3 linked regions of the Bombyx mori genome follow. The protein of the gene in region 1 purifies or fractionates together with the protein of each later gene. This does not show direct contact. Links are inferred from orthologs where the notes say so. Each region holds a gene or a part of one and is shown in the gene's direction. Other genes may lie near its edges.

What was found.
Region 2: the proteins of U2 snRNP-associated SURP motif-containing protein (region 1) and U2 small nuclear ribonucleoprotein auxiliary factor 2 purify together in Homo sapiens (affinity purification with mass spectrometry; 3 studies listed by BioGRID and IntAct, counting the BioPlex papers as one, with this or other methods). This does not show direct contact. The link is inferred for Bombyx mori from reciprocal best matches to the Homo sapiens genes U2SURP and U2AF2.
Region 3: the proteins of U2 snRNP-associated SURP motif-containing protein (region 1) and calcium homeostasis endoplasmic reticulum protein purify together in Homo sapiens (affinity purification with mass spectrometry; 4 studies listed by BioGRID and IntAct, with this or other methods). This does not show direct contact. The link is inferred for Bombyx mori from reciprocal best matches to the Homo sapiens genes U2SURP and CHERP.

The regions. Positions count from the first base shown.
Region 1 is NC_085111.1:15,849,642-15,852,368, reverse strand, and holds part of U2 snRNP-associated SURP motif-containing protein, read left to right. Parts: intron 1-344; coding exon 345-546; intron 547-883; coding exon 884-1,061; intron 1,062-1,890; coding exon 1,891-2,047; intron 2,048-2,565; coding exon 2,566-2,642; intron 2,643-2,727.
Region 2 is NC_085123.1:10,727,629-10,731,880, forward strand, and holds the start of U2 small nuclear ribonucleoprotein auxiliary factor 2, read left to right. Parts: upstream 1-1,342; 5' UTR 1,343-1,467; coding exon 1,468-1,483; intron 1,484-1,557; coding exon 1,558-2,130; intron 2,131-2,406; coding exon 2,407-2,489; intron 2,490-3,563; coding exon 3,564-3,686; intron 3,687-3,796; coding exon 3,797-3,884; intron 3,885-3,971; coding exon 3,972-4,125; intron 4,126-4,252. UniProt on the Homo sapiens protein: Plays a role in pre-mRNA splicing and 3'-end processing. By recruiting PRPF19 and the PRP19C/Prp19 complex/NTC/Nineteen complex to the RNA polymerase II C-terminal domain (CTD), and thereby pre-mRNA, may couple transcription to splicing.
Region 3 is NC_085128.1:5,793,479-5,797,826, forward strand, and holds the start of calcium homeostasis endoplasmic reticulum protein, read left to right. Parts: upstream 1-1,397; 5' UTR 1,398-1,698; coding exon 1,699-1,723; intron 1,724-1,809; coding exon 1,810-1,980; intron 1,981-2,080; coding exon 2,081-2,367; intron 2,368-3,275; coding exon 3,276-3,438; intron 3,439-3,718; coding exon 3,719-3,866; intron 3,867-4,167; coding exon 4,168-4,244; intron 4,245-4,348. UniProt on the Homo sapiens protein: Involved in calcium homeostasis, growth and proliferation.

The DNA.
Region 1 (2,727 bases):
CAAACGATTTCGCCTACTGTTCAAAAATATGCTTTGCCAGAAAAGTATATTATTATCTTTATTTACAATATGAAAAGATACTTAAAAGTCTAATATCTGTAAAAAAAATAAAATAAAATAATAATGCTAATATTTTATCTCATAAAAACTTTACATATTATTATACTAATTTTTAAATTATTAAATTAGTCAAATTTTATTAATAAATTCTATTCCATATTTAAACACGAGCTTATTTTTATTATAAAAGAATGGATAAATTAAAAAAAAAACTTGGTTCTTGTTCGTTCATATACAGACACTATTGTAATGTTCATACATGGTAATGAGTTGTGGTTGTACAGGAGCGTCGTCCCTCGACCGAGGCGGGTGCGGGCGGCGCCGGCGCGGTGGAGGAGGCGGTGTCCCCGCGCTCCGACGCGTCCTCCTCGTCGTGGGAGGGCGGCGCCCGGGGCCCGCTGGACGGCGCCGCCCTGCGCCGCCTCGCCGCCGGCCGGGAGCCGCACGCGCCCGCGCTGCCGCCGCCGGACATCGACGGCGTGCCCGGTATGTACACGCGCCCACATTAACTCGACGTGGTGTTTGCGCACGTTCATTTTAGAAACTATTACCGGTGTTAGGACCTCTTGTGGGTCCTCGCGGGTAGGTATCACCGCCCTGCCTATTTCTGCCGTGAAGCAGTAATGCGTTTCGGTTTGAAGGGCGGGGCAGCCGTTGTAACTATACTGAGATCTTAGAATTTATATCTCAATGTGGGTGACGCATTTACGTTGTAGATGTCTATGGGCTCCAGTAACCACTTAACACCAGGTGGGCTGTGAGCTCGTCCACCCATCTAAGCAATAAATAAAAAAATATTATTTTTGATTTGTATTGTTCGCAGTGGATGAAGATATTGACGGCGTGCCGCTGGAGCCGGACAGCGAGGAGGGCGCGGGGCAGGGCGGGTTCGTGCCGTCCCGCTGGGAGAGCGTGGAGCCCGCCGCGCCGCACACCCCGCCCCCGCCCGCACTGGACGAGCGCGCCGCCCCGCCCCCCGCGCCCGCGCCCGCACCCGACACGTACGCACTATTCGCTTATATTCCAAGATATAGATACAATATAGTATTAAATATCCTCCCTTCGCTTCGGAAACATTACATATATGTATATGTATTTCACTGGAATGGTACACCGCGCGTAGTTCGTTTCCAAATGATTCTTGTCCACCTGATGGTTGTCTGGAAGAGATCGCTCTTAGCGATAAGACCGCCAATTGTACTTTTTTGTTTTTAATGTATTGCACTGTTTATTTGTTTTTTGGTGTACAATAAAGAATACTTTCTCTCTCTCTCTCTCTCTCCCTCTCTCTCTCTCTCTCTCTCTCTCTCTCTCTCTCTCTCTCTCTCTCCCCCCCCCCCTCCCTCCCCCGATCCCTCCGATCCCCGCAGTTATTGTTGTACCGCGGGTGACGCCGTGGGGCGAAGCTAGCCTAAAAAAGCAGCCTAAGCTACTCCTTATATCGTCAGCTACCTATCAGTAAAAGTCTCATCAAAATCGGTCCAGCTGTCCCAGAGATTAGCCGGAACAAACAGACAGACCGACAGACAGACAAAAATTGTAAAAAATGTCATTTTGGCGTATGTACCGTATATATATTCATATGAATGTAGTGAAAAGCGGTTATTTCAGTATTATAAACAGGCACTCCAATTTTATTTATATGTATAAATATGGAGCAGTACATAGATGTACCTACATTACGTTGTACGGAGTGAAACGATTCCAAAGAAAGTACATATAAAGTGATTTCTTAATAAGCATAAAATATCACACAACTTGTAGAAAGGTTATCAGATTTTGACCGCGATAACTTTACGAAACTAAGTTCGTTGAGGGGTCGGGGGGCAGGTCGGAGGAGCAGACGCTGAAGCGCGAGACGCTGCGCGAGATCGAGGTGCGCGTGCTGAAGTACGCCGACGAGCTGGAGGGCGGAGCCCGCGCGCCGCGCCCCGGCCTCGCGCCCGCGCAGCAGATACAGCACTACCGACGGAAACTCATCAAGAAGGTACCCTACACTACACTACACTACTCACACGATCTTCAATTTATAACGAAAAGCGCTTTTATTAAGTACTAGTGGTCCCGCAGTGGGGGAGGGTGATGGGAGATATGTGCTCCACACTAAACGCTTCATTTTCCCCCTTTGCCTCTTCATGAGTTCTGTCTCATGCGAGGTTTGGAGCCAAGACTACACTATAGAAAAATATTAATAATGACAAACAATATGTAATCTATTCTCAATTTGACCACAGACGTCAAGAACAAAAGTTTGACAGTAAATAAATAGTATGCATGCTTGTGTGCGTCAAATACATGGTAGTGTGTATAATGCTTTTTTTTATTGATTTAATGTATAATATTTTAGAGGTATAATTTAAAAAAATATTAGCATTGTGCACTTCTTCTCTATATTCTCTATAAGTGTGGAAAATTTCATACTCCTGCGTCCGCGAAATTCTCGTAAAAAGGGGTACAAAGTTTTTCCTTCACGTATTAATATATGGTATTCCTACACGATTCCAGGCGCTGCGCGAGGTGCGGGAGGCGAGTGCTAGAGAGTCGCCCGAACAGAGACGAGTCACTGAGGATGATGCGTACTCGTGAGTATTGCGAACAATGCGCTATATTTTAACCCTTTGACTACCATGTAGGTCACCAGTGCCCTACGCGGTGCACTAAAATAAT
Region 2 (4,252 bases), on another chromosome or scaffold:
GATCGAAAATTGGACGCATTGATCCGTCGCTTTTCTTCCGCAGAAAAAGGTAGTTTTTTTTTTTTTTTTTTTTTTTTTTTTGTTGTTTTTTTTTTTTTTTTTACGGTATTTGGTAACCATACATGGTTTACAAATTATTACAATTTTGGTGGCACTCAGTGCCTCAGTGCCGTCGGTGTCTTCAATTGCCCCCCTCTGGATTGTGCCAGATGTTACGGACTATGATTGTTTATAATGTTTGGCTTACCTTTTGTACGAGATCGTGACAAATAGGATTGTAGCCCTCCGAGGGACTGAATAGATTTCAATTTACTATTATCAAACAAAAATTCCTCAATGAGTGGCGCGTTGGCAACAGGATACTTTGTTAGAGACCACGGAAATTAAACTTTGACGTCTTATTTCTATACATACGGCCCTTTTTTCCGTATACAATTTAAAACGCTTTTTACGGGTAACTTGTACGACGGAGACGATTTGTCAAAGTTTTCAGTAATTATGTTACAAAGATTATTAGTTTAAATCTGTTGTGTTTTTGTCAAAATTTCCGTATTGACGAGATCAATTTGTTTACAACAATTTTCGTTACATTCAATTGTTACACACAGTTGATGCATTATTAGATTTACAACGTCACTGACCTGGTGGGATAACGAGCCGATTCGAAGATCGACCGTTACCTTTGAATCCCGTCGTTTCTTACGCAGAGACTCCTTTTGTTCTTTTTCGCTTGACGAGCTGTTCGAACGCGAGGCGTCTCCATCGCGTCTCGCCTGGACATCTTCCCTCTCGGAAATTATGGAGCTTGACTCAACATCACCTCCAACAGATGACGCGTGATTCATGGCGTCCGATGATAGGATTGGTAAATAATACTCGTAATGATTGCAAAATAACACTCATAGAAACACAAAATAAATATTTTTTGCAATTAATAAGAAGTCGAATAAATATTTGTGGACTTGCGACTTCACAGTACGAAAGTACACAACGCTATGAAGATCAAAGATGGCTGCGCTCCCTTTATACTTGCTGGCAGCACCTAGCGGCTAAAGATGGAACTAAATTGACTGTCTATGGTTGGACATAGACAAGGAATCTAAGCTAAGTACACACTGCTTCTTCATAATACAATGCTGTATGTTTTCCAAAGGCACATCAATGATTAATTAGCTATCATTATTACACATTTATACTTGAGGAAACACCAGTTCTGCGTTCGCGTCCGAAATTTGTCCTAGGGCAAGCATAGGATTTTAGTGATGATTACGTATCAGGAAATTCACTATAGCATCATTAGCCAAAAGTCGAGTAACCAACGTCCGTATAAAAAAATAACAGACGCCATTTCACGGAAACTGACTTAGATTTTATGTTGATGCCAACGCTAATTATACTAATAACGCTGAAGCGCCTTTATTACTATCTCAAGAAATAGTTACTGTATTACATATTTCCGTAAATAAGATGGGGGAAGATAAAGGTAAGTAGTTCACATATCTATCTTGTAAAGTTTTGAAGTGAGGTTATAAAATAAAATGCTCACAAATATTACAGACCGCCGACGAAGGTCTCGATCCCGAGAAAGAAAACGTTCTAGATCTCGATCTAGAGAACGAAGAGAAAAAAGAAAAAGCAGATCAAGATCGCCCAATAAACGTTCACGTAGACGTAAGCCTTCGCTTTACTGGGATGTACCGCCGCCGGGATTCGAGCATATCACGCCATTACAATACAAGGCGATGCAAGCGGCGGGTCAGATTCCTGCCAATATTGTCGCCGACACACCACAAGCTGCCGTGCCGGTGGTGGGTTCGACTATAACACGTCAAGCGCGAAGGTTATATGTCGGCAACATACCCTTTGGCGTCACCGAAGAAGAAACAATGGAGTTTTTCAATCAACAAATGCATCTATCGGGCCTGGCCCAGGCCGCCGGCAACCCTGTTTTGGCTTGCCAGATTAATTTAGATAAAAATTTTGCATTCCTTGAATTCAGATCAATTGATGAAACGACACAGGCAATGGCTTTTGACGGTATTAATTTTAAAGGGCAAAGCTTAAAGATTCGACGTCCACATGACTACCAGCCTATGCCAGGCACTGAAAACCCAGCAATAAATGTGCCTGGTAAGTAATTATGATATTGTGATATTGTTATTACAAACAACTTTTCTTATAAAAATACATTTAAACTACATTAGAAGATACTATAGATTTATCTATCAAGTAATGAGTCTTGAACTCGATTGAAAGTGCTATTTTTTATTAAGAAAATGCAATATTTAAAATAAACTGAATTTTGTTGTTATAATTCTACAGCTCTTTTTAAACTCTTGAAACAGCATTAATTACAACTAAAATACTCATTACTAGTGTCTTCATTCAAATATTATTTTGTTACAGCTGGTGTTATTAGCACTGTTGTACCTGATTCCCCACACAAGATCTTTATAGGGGGATTGCCTAATTATCTAAATGAGGACCAAGTAAGTTCCTTGTTTTATCTATTAAAATTTATAGTTGAAATTAAGCATTCAAGAAACCATAATTTAATCACATCATGATCAAAATCAAGTTTGGAGTTTTTTAAAGCTACACATGGTTTTTGGATTAAAGTAGAGGTACTTATTTTCTGTATTTTTGATGTGATCAAATTAAGCTATTATTTATAAGTACTACTTACCAAAAAGTTTTTATTTTTAAACCAAATGAAAACTCAATTCACATAAATTATGGTTGATTTATGTTTCCCACTAAAAGAAACCTTTTGATAATAAAAAAATGGTTATATTATACAACATTCTTCTCTCATTGTGATTTGTAGAGTTGTGTGTTACAGGTTTTGACCAGACAAAATGGAAATAATAATTATGTTGGTTATGATAAACATAGAATTCTCTTAGATCGACAAATTCAAGTATTTTGGACTATAATAGTTATTTCAAAATCCTACTTTAGGTAATGTTAGGACATTAAAAGAACCATGAGTTTGTTCGTTCCCAGTAGGTAGTTATAGCGTACTAGATGCCGCAACAATTTCAGGCCGAGATTCAACAGTTGACAGGACTTAGGCCCCGGTGACGCCAGCAGTGAGCCGCGTTATGTTTTGGTCCGTTTCAGGTATTTTCAGGTACCCGTAGCGTGGACGAGCGTGTGCGTACCACGCTCGGATGTTCTCAAACAACTCACTGATATAGTTTGCTTTCTGCCCTCCCTAGCTTAGATTTGGCACATTCGCGGCCCGCGTGTCACTGTTGTCTCTCATTCTCATCTATACGTCTTGTACTTGAACGAGACATCGGCACTTCAAGGCAAGTCTCTTCCATTCACATCTGATTCTAACATGCGGCTAGACACAGGTCAGATAGCATAATTCACTTATGTAATTTGCTGCATTTTGATGAACAGATTTAATGGGAACACAACAATTCAAACATACAATACAAAAAACATTAGCATTAGAAATGTCTATGCTGATCATTATGAATATGTAACGTAAATTAATACAATGCTGGGAATTAAAAGATTATTATTTGCTCACTAATTTTGTCATGAAACAGGTAAAGGAATTACTCATGTCATTTGGTCAACTCCGGGCCTTCAATTTGGTGAAAGACTCTTCAACTGGGTTGAGCAAAGGCTATGCTTTTGCTGAATATGTCGACATTTCTATGACAGATCAGGTAAATAATCATTATGTCACCCAATTTATTAATTTATTGGCTTTTGCATAGTTAAGGCCAATTTAATTTTTAAAAAAACTTTAAATCATAAATTAATTTTATTTTCACAGGCTATTGCAGGTTTAAATGGAATGCAACTTGGAGATAAAAAGTTGATTGTGCAACGTGCCAGTATAGGCGCAAAGAATTCAACTTTAGGTAAATTTTAATACAGAATATGACCTATGTTTTAGTTTTAGAATAGAAATTATAAAAGATTTTAAATAGAAATGGGATACTTTTCAGCACTGACCGGTGCAGCTCCAGTGCAAATCCAAGTGGCAGGTTTGACCTTGGCTGGAGCAGGTCCACCTACTGAAGTATTGTGCCTTCTTAACATGGTAACACCTGATGAATTGCGTGATGAAGAGGAGTATGAAGATATCCTTGAAGATATAAAGTAAGTAACATTTTGTACATGTCACACACACAAGCACTAATACATGAAATGCACACTTAAACTTCATCTAAAAATGTTCAAAATCAGAACAAGAATATAAAATTAAATCTTCATATTGGTACCTCAG
Region 3 (4,348 bases), on another chromosome or scaffold:
AAATTCTTCAACTACTGATTAATCTGATTGCGAGAGTAATTAACAAGATTTCACGTTCATTTTGTTCAATAAGTATCAGTACATTAAATTAAATTCATACGTGATCAATTGTTTTTTTTTTATTTCAAGTACATAATACCCTCATATTTTATAATTTACACTCGCACGGAGGCTTAAGATGTGTTAGTATCGATAGCGCAATATCGACTAATTACAACACTAGCTCATTACGTCAACATTCCTTTAAAAAAATCCTCGGAGCTCGCGCGCGGACTGTAGATAGTGTAAATTATTTACTGTTGAAAAAATCATAATGGGGTCGTTTTATTCACTTTTTTGTTTTTTCACTTGTAATCGCAGAGATAATTTAATCTCTGCGGTAACAAGTGAAAAAACCACTTTAACTACTCTCCACCTTTAACAATAATACTAACTCGGGGGAGTTCTTCACTGGCGTGGCTATCGTAGAGTGTACACTAATACGTGGCTTTTGTCACCTTACATCGTTTACAATTTAATAGGTCCTTACCTTATAACTTATCTTTTGCAAACACTGCTCATTTAAATCATCAAACACTGCCCATTTGAATTGTCGAACACTGCCCAATTGTGTGGCAATCAATTTTAAATACAAATGAATTTAATTAAAAAAATATGGAAGTCTATTTTCAAAATCAGTCATTTGTCTATTTAATAGTGTTTTGCTTTCATTATATTTTGGTATGTTTTTAATCAATATGGACGCGACTAAAAATACATAAAACTACGGAACACTAGTTCCGTCGCGGTAGCAATGTCGCACAAACTGATCCCAACATTAATGATGCAAACAAATTCATGGTCACTATATGGTGGTGTATTACTGGTATAATTCAACATAGCTTCTTACCAAATGGCACCGGAATTACTGCGGATGTGAACTGGACACAAAGATGAAGAAACTCGGGAATCTCTTGCCAGCCTTAGTTAACTGCACGACCGCGTTGCTCCTACACGACAACGCTCGACTTCATACAGCACAACAAATAGTGTCTAAGCTACAAGAACTGGAGTTAGAAGTTGTGCATCATCCATCATACTCACCAGACCTTGCGCCTACAGACATCTATTTTTACCAAGGTTTGGAAAAAATATCAATTCCCGAGATGACAATGAGATGAGTACAAAATGCCTTTGAATAGTTTATTCACTCCCGTATATTGACATGGGTGAATTTGTTTGATAAAAATAAAAACAAAATAATAAAAATATAAATTATAATTTTCTATATGTTAAACAGCAATTTTGTAGGTATAAACCAAATATTTTGTAAAAATATAACCATAACATTATTACCGTACACATACAAGATCGTCAATGCGCTAGGAGTTCAATAGTGACCATAGACACGACACATAATATTTATGAAACACTGACAGCATAGAGTAAGATTATATATACTGACAGTTGTAAGCATAGATTATACACCTAGTATTTGAGTCTAGTAATAAAATATTAAAGCCAACAATTTACAAATGGCCGATGTGTTTTAATCATATACAGCAATATATAAATCGCATAAAGAATTAAAATAGTGATAACATCTCTTTTAGATCGTTATTTTCTGGTAAAATGACATTAAAATGTCGTTAAAGTAATAATAGTCTATTAGTTTAAGACACTAAGCTACATCAAGCAATAACCTCGTAAACGATAAAAATGGAACTGCCACAGCCACCGCAAGGTACCGCACACACATAACAATATATTTGCATTCAAGTAAATCCAGTTATAAATAAACATTAATTACTATAAAATATATATTTTCAGATCAAGATCTCCGCAACATAATCGACAAATTAGCGCAATTCGTCGCAAGAAATGGACCGGAATTTGAGAAGATGACCAAGAACAAACAAAAAAATAACCCAAAATTTAGTTTCCTGTATGGCGGCGAGTACTTCAACTACTATCAATACAAAGTGACGACAGAACAAGCAAGTAAGCATAACAAAACTGATGACAGAAGCTATCCACCATAATCAATGATAGCTGATACGTTTTGTTTTAACCAATCTAAGTGAACCTCCGCTGTTTATAGTTCTAAAGCAAACGGCCGGTGGGCAGGCGGCATCCGCTCCCGCCGGGGCCTATATGGCACAGAACAGGCAATATGTAATGCCCCAACAGGCCAGCGCGACGCCTGCTCAGCTGGGTCTAGCGGCCTCGATGGCGGCGGCACCTGTACTTCAGCAGTGGCTTGCAGTCAACTCTGCCCCGCCTCCCCTTCCTCAGCACCCACAAGAAATCGACAGCATCACAACACAGATCAATGTGCTGAAAGAACAGATTACTCAGTCAGAAAATAATCTAAATGCTCAACATGCTGTAAGTATGTACAGTAAATTAGTAAAAACATGCGTATGATCTTAATTGCTTGGTGGTGTGATGTAATGATAGTGTTTCTGTTTGATTAAGTAAGTTTACATCAAGCCAAACAAGTCTTCCCACCTGTAAAATAGAGGTCTAGAAGGAAAACATATTTTGTTACTAAAGATTATTGTTTTTGATACCATTTTTTTTTGCATTGTAGTTTATAAATTGAATTTATTAAGACTACATTATTATGTATACTATTATTATGACTACAGTACCTACTCATGCAAAAGTAGTTGGGCATAGATTAGATTTTTGTTTTTGCATTACCTACATTAAAAGCGGGGTATTAACATAATAAGCTATCATAGCCTTATGGATAATACGCCCAAGTGCATTCATATTGAATGAGATGATTGTGCTGGGATCAAACCATTTTTCAAAAAATACCACATGTTCACACAGTACCTCTATGGTCAAGGAATAACATTGTATTATAAACATAAAATTACCAGTAGTATTATTTTTATTAGTCATTATTAGCCATACTCTTTCTACTAATTTCTGCTGCAAGAGTTTCTGGTTTTAATGATGTGATAGCTATTACCTCATGTATCAAGGTGGCTGGTAGGATATATTATTATATTATGGTTACCATTTAATGCCAGTTCATTCACCTATTTAAGGCAATAAGAAATGTACACTGAAATAACTTGATATATTTTATTGAGACACTATTTGGATATTTTGTTTAAAGAAAACAAATAAGTTAATTATTTATATAGATCGTATATATGCAGTAACTATTGGAATTTAGAAATTCAAACTAAGTTTTGAGATTTGTACACATTGTTTATTTTCCAATATTTCATATGAAACACCCCAATAAGTTCCTATGAATTAAATAATATGCATTCTAGGTTTTGATACAACAGCAGCAAGTGAAGATCAATGAGCTTGTCAGCAAGGCACAGATGGAGTCTTTACAGATAATGGCTGATGAGAACAACATCAATCTTAGTGAACTTGACAATATCCTACAGCCAATAATAGACAGTTGCACTAAGGACAGTATTTCTTCAGGTACTTTTTAAATTCAACTGAATAACTTATGACTCAACTGTATACTCTACATTCTTGAATATTGTATGTAATATTTAATCAATCCATATACAATTATATTATTTTCGTTTTTAAATCTTAGCTAATATTTTGCAATTTTTTTTTGTCTATTCAGACTGACCAAACATCATGTTCCCAAACTCAAGAAATACTCGAAATACTGCTAACTGCTACTGTGGGAACAAACAGTTTTATTTTTTGTATTTTTGAATCTGTATTTTATTTTTACATGTAACATTAGGAAAGGGTTGGATACTTCAACATGCTACATCCCATGATGCTGGCAAAGTCATATCTCAACACCTGCTTAGAAAAGTCACTCAAACTGGTGCTGCTTTTACTCAGAAACTACACATCATTTACCTTGTAAATGATGTACTCCATCATTGGTTAGTACCAAAAACAAATTTGATATTTAAAGTGTACATTTAGAATGGTTTGGGTAATTATTGATTGGTTGTGCTTAATAAACGATTATGTTTAAATATTGTAAAGTGTATTTGTCATTATTTGTGGGATATTGAATAGGATATAAAATATATCTAGTAATAATTAAAACAAATACTAAATGATAATGTATTTTTTTTTGTACTATGCTATTAAGCAAAACATAAACATATTTTAATAAAGTATTGTGTCCCTTTTTTATTGTCAATTCGGTGTCTATGATACTATTATTCCTAATTACAGTGCACGCAAAAACGCAGAAGATCTCAAGAAAAATTTGGAAAATGTGGTGGTTCCAATGTTTTGCAATGCCAGTATAGGTAACTTATTTATAATAATGCCCTCGAGATTTAGGTTTGTCTTTATTGTCGAATGCAAATTCTTATCTGCAGCTCAAAGCATCTTTAGAACTCCACCTGTGGTT